Linked DNA regions of Schizosaccharomyces pombe. The gene in region 2 interacts genetically with the main gene of each other region. Each region holds a gene or a part of one and is shown on either strand. Other genes may lie near its edges.

Region 1 (4,039 bases), on a different chromosome or scaffold from region 2:
ATAACCTAGTAGAGGGAAGAAAAGTCGGCCTGGCTGTTCGAAGAGGATGGCGGGTATGAAAACAGTGGTTTCGCGTTGAATACTTTGGGAGAATTAGAATTTCGTAGCAATTCACTTAGATCGTGTGTGTATTAATATTTTGTTAAGCAAATTTTCTCATGTTGAACCCAGAAATGTAGCAGAAAACAGAACCTTGGTTGGTTGTTGTTGGTAGAGGGTAAAGTTATCCGCCCCCCCTGAGGAGTTCTTTTTAGTGCTGATGTTCCTTTGATTGCGATAGAGAATTTAACGAAATTTAGTGGAATATAGCACAATTATGTCGAGATAGTAGATGAGTTGGTAAGGAAGATTCGTGATCAATTTATCCCGTTCTGACTTCTTCTTCCTTATTCTATGATAACGTGACTGTGTAGTGCATTATTTCTCCTTAAACTTGTGCGTGATAAATAAATAAATATAAAATAGAACAAGTCGTATATACTAATTTATAGACACATATGCTATCGTCTACAATCTATTTTCATTTTTACTAATTGTTTTAATTATTTTTTCTCATCTTATTGAATTCTTTTCTCGTTTCTATCTTCGTTTCACCGATCGTTTTAGATGCACAAGTAACCACTGTTAACTAGAATAGCAAAGTAGATAGATGAACGATGGAAAATGTTCGATAATGAGAAAGATATAAGCCTCGAATATGAACTAATTATTTCGTACATTTTAATGAAATGATCTTAAAATTGCCTAACAATTTGCTTTTTGTTTGATCATTATGTTGCTTGGTTTAAGGAAGCTGCCATAGCAATTAAATATCAAGAGATATATAGGCCCTTGAATAGAAGTACGAGATTGGAAGGGATCATAGAAGCTTCCTTTGAGTTAAAACTCTGATTTATTAATTTTCTCCGCTTCGGTATGTGAATCGTCAACGGTGTCTAGAAGGTAATCAATGGTAGACTGCTACCGGATAAATAAATAGTGAAGTATCTGTAGTATTGGTTCTACAATTCGCATATGAAACGAAATATACCGTTACTTGATGCTTTATTATTATTTGTTTTATTCTAGTATTAGTTAAGCTGGGAACGGCTTGCTGTGGTTGATAGATAAACATTGTTGGGAAATTTCCATTTTATTAAATTATTAGTATCCCCAGGCAAAAAAAAAAAAAAATTGGTTTATTTAGACTTGGACTCTTTTTACATTTAAAGCGTAGAAACAAAAGAAGAAGAAAAAAACAATTAATATAAACGATAGCATTACGTTAGATGGGTTGCTGAACAAAAAAAAAAAAACACAAAAAACTACAAAATAAAGTAAAAAAAGAAATAATGGTAAAAATCAGAAAAAATAAATTAATTTATATAAAAATACGGAATATTATTAAAGAAATCAATTAAAAAACAGGAAGTTATTTTAAATAGACTTCCATTCAAAAATATCCCTTTTCTATATTTTTGTAATTCATCACCCTTGGCTATCGAGCTAATGAAGATAATACCAACCCTGGATACGTATATCAATGGTGAAGAGTGTGTAATAATTGAGTTCGAAGTTCCATGAAAGAACTACATTATGCCATACTTTATCACGTCTTATCGTATTTCTTTAGGATTCCACTTATTTCACTTCAAGTGGGAGAGCTCTTCAAGCAACTTAGGTATTCGTTACGTCCAAAAACTAAACATTTAACGGCATATCCCGTCAATCTCCTTAATTGTTTTTTAAAGATCGCTTTCTTATGAATTGTGATTTTAGCAATACAATAAAACCAAACACGCCATACAAAAATGTCCACAAACCTCACCTTACTTACTTGTGAGCACTCTCATCTTAACCAAGCATCCGAACTATAAGCAGGCAGTCCAAATCCTCGTTAAACACATATTGTACGTATTAACGAATACGAAAATATTACACCATATTGTGCTGTTTCATTCAGAAATCGGTTTTTCCGTCTCTAATCGTGCCATACGCTATTGTAAATTTGCGCGAAACAAAGCGTCGCTACTCTGAGAGCATAGAGGGAAACTTTTGTCACCCTCAACATGCTAAAGAATACTGGTTGAACAGTTTACTTCCAACCACACGCGTGTAGCAGAAAATTTGAAAAAATGAGTGATCAAGATGCCTTAGATACCCAAGAAAAGGTAGGAATTCAGACTGTGTAGTATGGTGGAATTATTTGCTTACATGATTAGGAACTATTGGAAATGAAAGAGCGAGTTGCTGAAATGGAAGCAGAGGCTGCAAAGCTTCGTGCCATGCAAGAACAACTAGATAATGAAACGGAAGCTTTGAGAAACGATAAGGAATCCATTGATGCTCAAAGTGTCTATGTTGGAAATGTTGATTACAGTGTTACTCCAGAGGAGTTGCAAAGTCATTTTGCTAGTTGTGGATCTGTTAATCGCGTTACCATTTTGTGTGACAAGTTTACGGGACATCCAAAAGGGTATGAATCGAACTTGTGGATGACGTTGGAATGTACAGCTAACCTAGTTTCGTAGATTTGCATACATCGAGTTCAGTGAACCAAGCTTAGTGCCTAATGCTCTTTTATTAAATGGATCGATGTTGCATGAACGACCTTTAAAGGTATGTAAAACAATCACAGTAACTACCAGCAACATGCATTCTAACTTGAAATGTAGGTTACACCCAAGCGGACAAACGTTCCTGGTATGAGCCGTGGTCGTGGTCGCGGACGTGGACGTGGACGGGGTCGTGGCAGAGGAGGATATCGTGGAAGAGCCCGTGGTTTCGCTCCGTATTAGGTAATCGCTTTGATGACTTGAAAAAGTGAAAAATGAATTATGAGCATTCAAATCGTCACCAATAACAGTTAGGTGGGAAAAGATTAGAAATGACATTTAACAGTATGTTGGAAATTAACTAGTATTTCTTTCAACTCATTCGTTAAATGTTTATATTCCTTGTTTATTCTTTTGTGTTGGATTACACGGGTTTCCTTTAAAGTCATGATCCCATTCACTATATTAAAACATATATGCTGACATAATGTAATTCACCGACCCTTCAATTCCTCTTGGGTATGGACTAGTTGATTGCATTTTTGTGTTTACAATGCCAGCTTCATAAAATTTTGTTGTATATTGTCGTTTTTATGCTTCTGATGCACGTTCATAATCTTCAAAATTTTCTTTTTTTTGTTTTTGAAAATTTATTTGCTCAGCTTAATTTCTCGTCATAATCTTGATCCGCTTGATTAGAAAAGGGGTCAGAAAAGGAAGCTACTCTATACACCGTATCACATATTACAGTCATCTCCTTCCTTTCTTGATTAATAAAACTAAACACCTACCAATGTATAATTTCATTATATATATATTTTTGTAATGAGGAGATACTTCTCTGTGTTCACCATTACATTTTGTGTTTAATATAGTGAAACACATTAACGTTCTTCTCTTCTCCTTTGGAGAGTTTAATGCTGAGGATCTTCTTATATTTCTAATAAATTTCTTGATTCTGTTTAATGATTTTATATAGAAAATGTATGACTTTCTTTTCTAAGTCTACAAGTTCATTTTTATATGTAATAATTGTGAGGAAATTAATTTTTAGTCATCATGATGTAAAATGACATTTAACAAAAAAAGCTTGGTGTATATCTAATTAAGTAGTTTTTACATAGTCGATTTTTATGTTCATATATTGTACATGTCGAGTCAATTTCTTTTAGCTACCTGCGGCATATTCCGGATTCCAGTACAAATAATTTCCTTCCTGCCTTTTACCCAACTCGTATAGGGAAGCGATAAATAAAAGTAACAAGGATAATCAAGTCAGTCGTTTCTACGCTGTGCCACTCAGATTCGATGACCTTTGTTTACTCTTTCGATTTGCCAAATATTAGCTGAGCGGATATTCGCTGAACTTGCGAGTTACACCTATTGATCCACTATTTAGCCAACCAACAGGTATTTACACTAGGATATTCCAGAGAGCATTCGAGCATTCGAGCATTCGTCTGTCGATTTATAAAAAGAGCCAATTTAGATCGTATATCGGTTTA
Region 2 (3,683 bases):
GACGTCATAAATCTTGTGAAGTGGTTTTAAACGGACCTAGAGTTAGCAACTTTCATTTTGAAATCTATCAGGTATATAAAATAATAGTGGCCAGCTGAACTCGTTTAGTTTTAATTGAACTTCAATCTCTTTAAGACATAATTATCTAACGAAATGACCCAGGGGCATAGAAATGATTCCGATGAATCTGAGAATGTCGTTTTTTTACACGGTAAGTCTAAAGGATTAAAAAATCTTTTAAAGTCTTCTGCCTCTTCCACCTTTTCTAACAATTTCAGACCACTCTTCTAATGGAACATTTCTGAATTTTGTAAGCGAGAGCTTAATTCGTTTACAATTTACTGACGTCATTTAGGAACGGCTTGCCAAGAATAGTAGAACTATCTTGTCAAACGGAGATGAAATTCGAATTGGCCTAGGTGTGCCGAAAGATGAAATTTGTACGTCCTTTACACTGAAGGAGATTGTTGACGTAGAATTCACTTCAAGTTTGCTTACAGTCTTATAGCTTTTTTGTGCCAGGTACCAGTTAAACATTCACGAGATTCCCAGAAAAACATGATTAAATCCGAGAACAGTCATTACGAAATTATTCGTACACTTGGAAGTGGTACATTTGCAGTTGTCAAGCTAGCGGTAGAAGTGAATAGTGGCAAGTGGTATGCTATTAAAATTATCAACAAACGAAAAATCCTTTTGACAAGTTCGGAAAAGCGAGCTACTGAAATGTTTCAACGAGAAATTGATATATTAAAATCTTTGCACCATGTGAGTATCATTTTATGTTCACCTTTTTTTATACGAAAAACTCCTAGCTAACACTTATCTTTTAGCCAGGAGTTGTACAATGCCATGAAATTTTTGAAAATGATGACGAGTTATTTATTGTTATGGAATATGTTGAGGGTGGGGATCTTATGGATTTTTTAATTGCTAATGGCTCCATCGACGAACAAGACTGTAAACCTCTTCTCAAACAACTTTTAGAAACGCTTTTACATTTGCACAAGCAGGGTGTGACACATAGAGACATAAAACCCGAGGTATATCTTGTTTATTGATAAGAAAGTCTAACTTGTAGAACATTCTTATAACAAATGATTTCCATCTTAAAATATCTGATTTTGGCTTGGCTAAAGTTATTCATGGGACGGGAACCTTTTTAGAAACATTTTGCGGGACAATGGGTTATCTAGCACCGGAAGTTTTGAAGTCAAAAAACGTCAACTTGGACGGAGGTTATGATGATAAAGTTGATATATGGAGTTTGGGATGTGTTTTATATGTGATGTAAGTTTGTCGGCTTTAATCAATTAGCAATGAACCTTCATGCCTTAATTTTTTCCAATTACTAATTCACAGGCTTACTGCGTCTATTCCTTTTGCATCTTCGTCACAAGCAAAATGTATTGAGTTGATATCAAAAGGTGCATATCCGATAGAGCCTTTATTAGAAAACGAAATTTCAGAAGAGGGAATCGATTTAATCAACAGGATGCTTGAAATTAATCCAGAGAAAAGAATATCTGAAAGTGAAGCTCTCCAGCATCCTTGGTTTTACACTGTGAGCACACACGAACATCGTACTCCACCATCATCGTCTGAACATGAGGCCACCGAACAGCTCAATTCTTCGAGTTAGATTATTAATATTTAGTATTCTAAATGATAATTAATTTTTATACTTAGACCGTCAAATTTATAATATTGTAAATAGACAGTAAGTTTACACTAACCACTCTGTCCACGTACTACTATCCCTTTGGACGTCTCGACGCGATCTTTGCCATGTGTGCTTCAGTTACAGAATCGCTTGTATGTTAATGATTTATAAAAACTAGAGCATAAAATACTAAAACTTTCTTTTTTCTTTTTAGCCAAAGTTTCCCGAATTGAAAACTCGAGATTTACAAGGGCAACAGGGACCTATACGTTCCCTAGGCTGGAATCTTTCCGGCTCGAGACTTGCGAGTTCTTCATCTTCAGGATCAGTACTTGTTTGGAATTCAGATCGTTTGGATTTTAAATTTACTACTGAATTAGGGAACAGAGGATATGGTCTTGTCGAACAACTAGTATGGGATCCTACGCATTCTGATCGGTTAATGGCTGTGTATGCTGGGAAAATGATCCGTTTCTGGGACTTTAGAAGTATGCAATGAAGTCTTTGACTGTTTGTTAACTATTTATTCAGGCGCCAAACCTATCGCTGAAATAGAAAGCAACTATGAGAATATTTATGCAACCTGGAGTCCAAGTGGAAATTACTGCTGTGCTAGTAGTCGGGTACGAGAATATTTTAAGTTTTTATAACGCACGATTGCTAATTGAATGCTAGGATGATATGTTGTCTTTTATTGATGCTCGGGAAAGAAGAATAATGGAGACATTCCAACAACCTTGTGAGGTTTGTTTTTAAACCAATAATAACTTTGCTTACGATTAATAGACAAATGAATGCTGTTGGTCATTCAGTGAAGATTTGTTTTTCATGACTACAGGACTTGGCACGGTGCAAATTATGGAATGGCCTTCTCTAAAAAGAGTTTACGATATAAAGGCGCATAACTCAAATTGTTTCTGTATTGAATTCAGTCCGGATAACAGGCACCTTGCCATTGGTGGTGCAGATGCAATTACTAGTTTATGGGATCCACAAGAACTGATTTGTGAACGGTCGATTACTAGAATGGAGTATGTAGTTTCTTTTAAATTTTTTGGTCGCTAACTTCTAAAAAGTTATCCCATCCGTACATTAAGCTTTAGTTATGACAGTCGCTATTTAGCTAGTGGATCAGAGGACCGCTATGTGGATATCGTAAGTATTTCAGGATGTTTGAAACCGTTTCTTATTTTTATTCTTTTTAATAAACTAACTTGGAAGGCTGATACGAAAACTGGTGATCAAATTTGGAAAATTCCAACTAATGGACCTCTGAACAAGGTAGCTTGGCATCCAACAAAACATATTTTAGCATATGCTGTATCGGAGCCTAATTCTAGTGGTCTTAAGATATTTGGGCTATAAATGATTGAAAATTGGCAATCTTGTTCACGCTGATCAACAATAAAAAAACGGCTACTTAGTATTTACCCTATACTCTTAGCATGGATACCTTCAATATTCATTGAAGTTGTAGTTTTAGCTTATTTGGTACCAAAAGTTTTGAAGAATGGAAGAGAAAAATACTGTTTCTTTATCTAAGCATATTGAACGTCCAGTAGAAGTTGTTGAAAGTCATTCTACGTACATTTTAAGTGCACAAGGACTTTATCTTACAGAACGCGTTTTAAGAAGTTATTTTAAACAACCTGATCTAATTATTACTTGGAAGGATAGTATGAGAGCTTACCTGACATTTTCTTCGCCGCAGGAAGCTCAAAAGGCTTACTTAGATTCACTTCGTTGGGGCAGTCAACTGAATGCTATCATTAAACCATTCTACGGTTCGCACGATGAGGTACTTCGTTTATGTAAAAGGAAAAGAATTATTCCACTACAAAATTTCTTGACTTCAGGTTAAACAGATAAATTAGAACACAGCTTAAACTTACCGGAAAAATTAATCGCAATCCAACAACTTTTCGGACAGCCGAGTGTTTTATAAAATTTCGTTTGGCTAAAAACCTAATTTTAATCTTTTATTAACCCAACTGGTTTAAAATTGCAACTGTTAGTTGGC
Region 3 (4,001 bases), on a different chromosome or scaffold from region 2:
TCAAGGTGGCATTTTTGGAATTGGTAAGAGCCGAGCGAAGATGTTTAATCATGAAACTGATATCAAAATAAAATTTGCTGATGTCGCTGGCGTTGACGAGGCTAAAGAAGAGATTATGGAATTCGTCAAATTTTTAAAAAATCCCAAGTTTTATGAAAGGTTGGGGGCTAAAATTCCTCGTGGTGCCATTCTTTCTGGTCCTCCTGGTACCGGTAAAACTCTTCTTGCTAAAGCCACCGCTGGTGAAGCTAACGTCCCTTTTTTAAGTGTGTCAGGTTCTGAGTTTCTTGAAATGTTTGTTGGTGTTGGACCTTCCCGCGTAAGAGATCTTTTTGCTACTGCTCGCAAGAACGCTCCTTGTATTATTTTCATAGATGAAATTGATGCAATTGGTAAAGCAAGAGGACGTGGAGGACAATTTGGTTCCAATGATGAACGCGAAAGCACTCTTAATCAGCTATTAGTTGAAATGGACGGTTTTACGTCTAGCGAACATATCGTCGTATTCGCTGGTACTAATCGACCAGACGTATTGGACCCGGCACTTCTACGTCCTGGTCGATTCGATCGTCAAATTACGATTGATCGTCCTGATATTGGCGGTCGTGAACAAATATTTAAGGTCCACCTTAAGCATATTAAGGCAGCCGATAACATCGACTTAATTGCCAAGCGTCTTGCCGTCCTAACTTCTGGTTTTACAGGAGCTGATATAATGAATGTATGTAATGAAGGAGCGTTAATTGCAGCACGATCAAATAGTAATGAAGTCCAAATGGTACATTTTGAGCAAGCTATTGAAAGAGTCACGGCAGGTTTGGAAAAGAAGAGTAGGGTACTAAGTCCTGAAGAAAAAAACACCGTTGCTCATCATGAAGCTGGACATGCGGTAGCTGGTTGGTTTATGGAGTACGTCGATCCACTATTGAAGGTCTCAATCATTCCTAGAGCTCAAGCCCTTGGCTATGCTAGTTATTTACCCAAAGATCAGTATCTGATGAGTCGAGGGCAGATTTTAGATCAAATGGGAATGGCTTTGGCTGGGCGTGTTTCTGAAGAAATATTTTTTGGACCAGAAAAGATTACTTCGGGAGCTTCCGATGATTTTCAAAAAGTAACGCGCATGGCTCAAGCGTATGTGACCCAATATGGTATGTCTCCGACTGTTGGTACTATAGCTTATCCCATCGACACTCGGGAAACTGTTCAAAAACCATTTTCTGAGGCTACAGCTCAAATGATTGATGAAGAAATTCGAAAGCTTGTAAAGCATGCATACGAAAGAACTAAGAAACTTTTGCTAGAACATAAGCAAGGCTTAGAAAATATTGCTCAACGTCTATTACAGAAAGAAGTCATCACTTATAACGAAGTTGAGACGATTCTTGGACCAAGGCCATATGCATACAAACATTTAAATATTTCTGAACTTATGCGTCAGTCTGAGTATAAAAATGATCACGATCCTCGAAATCCACCAATCCCCCCATCTCCTCAACAACCTTCTGCCTAATTTGTCAATTTACTGAATTTAAATAAAGCGTTATGAATGAAAATAGTTACTTTCATGGATCTCATGATCAAAGTATTTGTCAATTGAATATCATATAGCTATTTTATCTATTTTTTCTATTTAATATTACAGAAGCTAGATAAATATACTTAACATCAATTCTTCTGAACTTTAAAAGGTTAATAGATTATTATTTTCTAACACAAAATAGCTAATATCGTAACAAACAAACTTGTGTTTAGTTTCGACCTTTAGACCAGCATGTCATAGGGAGCGTGATACTCAACAGTTACACGTTTGACACTAACCACTGTACTTTCTTACAAGTCCATATTTTATGATGGATCTGATTATTTCAACAATTTTATTAAGCTTATTTATTCATTTCTTCGATAAATTTGCAAAAAAAAGGACTATTGATGGGGTAATTTAACATATATACTTGTTGTAAAGAAAACTAATAATGTGAAAGGCTTATCGAATTTACGTTAGTGTTTCTAATAATAAAGATTTAAAGAAGAACAAAGAAATTTTAGAGCAGCTGCTTACTGTTAAGAAAGAGCTAAACGCTACTAGCAGTCAAGATCAGTTTGCTAAATGGGCCCGTCTGAATAGAAAGTATGAACAACTCAGTCAAGAGTGGGAAAAACAATCAGCCAATGTTAAAATTTTCCAAGATACTTTCAAGCGGGTTTTAAGCCTTTTTCTTTGGATTTTAACCCGTGGATTCCGGTTTTATATTCAATTCAAAGAGTCCAAAACACCTGTCTTTTTCCTCCCTGCATTCTTGCTTCCTTCTTGGGCTCTATGGGTGCTATCTCTTCCACGATCAATCTACGGTATGTTGTTTTTAATGAAAATTCTGAAAATCTTTTTTTTATTTTTATTTTCATTTATCACAATGGCAGCTGAAATACTAACATGGCATGTAGGATCGGTTAGCTTAACAGTTTGGAATTTTGCGGTTCAAAAAACTATTTCCGGGATATTTTGATCTCCAAATCATCAAAGACGGTGACTAATTTTAATATTTTATCATTTAGTTTAATTAACTAAAGGGAAAAAGATGCCATATGTATTTTCAGTAAAGTCATTTTATAAATGCGTTTTCTACTTCCTTTTCTCATAAGAAAGAATGCCATGGAAAGCATAGTTTACCATGCACGATTAATATTATGTTATTCCTTCACAAATTGTACACTTTATGTGCTCTACACTGGTTTTCATCTAAATTGTCATCGGATTTCTTATTTCTATGCCTACTAATTCATTTGCTTAATTTGACGCTTTCATATTTCTGATGCTGTTTATACCGAAAGTTTGAAATGGCAAATAGGTTATTTATTACACAGGACATCTAGAAAGGGAACGATGCAGGGTTTTGGAAAACATCATAAAGTTACTACAATGTTAATTAAGAAGGGCACAAAATTATGATTAAAATTTAAGCTGAACTTCGATCTTACCTTTTCCTTTTATGCAACATTTCCAACCGTTGTATGTTGTTTTTTTAATCTTCAAAATTTTCAGTACAAAGATAAATTGTTTCTTGCATTGATTTTTCGAGTAAATTAAGTTCATGATAAAAAATTTGTAAGACTAAACGAGACCTATTCTCTCGTTTAAGAGTCGGATCGCACAATAGAGTCTTATAAGCTTCAGCAGTCAACCCACCATTTTTGAAACGACTAATGCGCTTTTGACACAGCATCTGTAGAAATTCTATAGCCTTACAATAAAAAGAAAAACCAGAGAGTTGAGCAACAACCTTTTCTTTTTCTCCCTCCTTATGTGCTATAAACACAGCCCAGATTTCATTAAAATACTTTGTAAGCATTACTATATTCATATCGCACTTTTGGAATTTGATTTTGTAAATGCAAAAAAATAAATATAAGTAAAGCCCGTAACTGGGACCATGATCTGTTATTATATAAAGATCCATAGGTTGTCTTATCATTACTGAACGTAAAGTCTCAGACTTGTCATTTGCGTATGTAGTTGGGGTGACCAGCAACTCCTGGGTGTTGATTATTCTTTTTTTATGAATCCACTCCATATAAAAATTTCTGTTAGTTTCATAAGCAATCATTGTCATGTCGACGCGCCAAACTTTGCAAGCGGTATCAATAAATCCATACTGCGTGAACAATTCATCAGCGGCAAAGTTTCCGAAGGAGTTGAATATTTCGGACATCTTTCGTATATACTGAAAAGAAATAAATTCTATTTTGATATCGCCTTTATGATCATTTGACTCCTGACAATGTAGCGAAGCAATAGCTGGACCAGACTTGTGATTAAAAATATCGAAAAAGGGTATTAAAGATAAACCGTAGTAGCTGTTAACGTAAAAACACCTGCTTTGGACGAGAACACAAGTCTCTAAATACTGATTCCATTTTGGACAAAGCTGTTTGAGATCAGCATGTTTATAAAAGTAAGGGCGGACCAATTGATCATATTGATTTTTGTATACTCTTAAATT

The links.
Region 1: mutations in tho3 (region 2) and pab2 together harm fitness more than expected from each alone (negative genetic interaction), as found in Schizosaccharomyces pombe (2 studies listed by BioGRID).
Region 3: mutations in tho3 (region 2) and get1 together harm fitness more than expected from each alone (negative genetic interaction), as found in Schizosaccharomyces pombe (2 studies listed by BioGRID).

What each region holds. Positions count from the first base shown.
Region 1 is NC_003423.3:1,938,832-1,942,870, reverse strand, and holds pab2 (poly(A)-binding protein Pab2), read left to right. Parts: upstream 1-2,082; 5' UTR 2,083-2,114; coding exon 2,115-2,150; exon of another isoform or gene 2,151-2,201; coding exon 2,202-2,455; exon of another isoform or gene 2,456-2,510; coding exon 2,511-2,598; exon of another isoform or gene 2,599-2,654; coding exon 2,655-2,777; 3' UTR 2,778-3,500; downstream 3,501-4,039.
Region 2 is NC_003421.2:737,361-741,043, reverse strand, and holds tho3 (THO complex subunit Tho3), read left to right. Parts: upstream 1-1,764; 5' UTR 1,765-1,788; coding exon 1,789-1,815; exon of another isoform or gene 1,816-1,877; coding exon 1,878-2,151; exon of another isoform or gene 2,152-2,194; coding exon 2,195-2,286; exon of another isoform or gene 2,287-2,338; coding exon 2,339-2,407; intron 2,408-2,449; coding exon 2,450-2,694; exon of another isoform or gene 2,695-2,739; coding exon 2,740-2,818; exon of another isoform or gene 2,819-2,884; coding exon 2,885-3,028; downstream 3,029-3,683. Other genes in the region: replication checkpoint kinase cds1, read left to right, coding at 1-71, 163-211, 279-310, 356-440, 509-768, 834-1,043, 1,082-1,290, 1,363-1,642; protein Thc1, read left to right, coding at 3,174-3,524. UniProt on the Schizosaccharomyces pombe protein: Component of the TREX complex, which operates in coupling transcription elongation to mRNA export.
Region 3 is NC_003423.3:4,317,097-4,321,097, forward strand, and holds get1 (GET complex subunit Get1), read left to right. Parts: upstream 1-1,812; 5' UTR 1,813-1,850; coding exon 1,851-1,937; intron 1,938-1,985; coding exon 1,986-2,352; exon of another isoform or gene 2,353-2,445; coding exon 2,446-2,507; 3' UTR 2,508-3,023; downstream 3,024-4,001. Other genes in the region: m-AAA protease Yta12, read left to right, coding at 1-1,513; SPOM_SPBC16C6.01C (lysine methyltransferase), read right to left, coding at 3,024-4,001.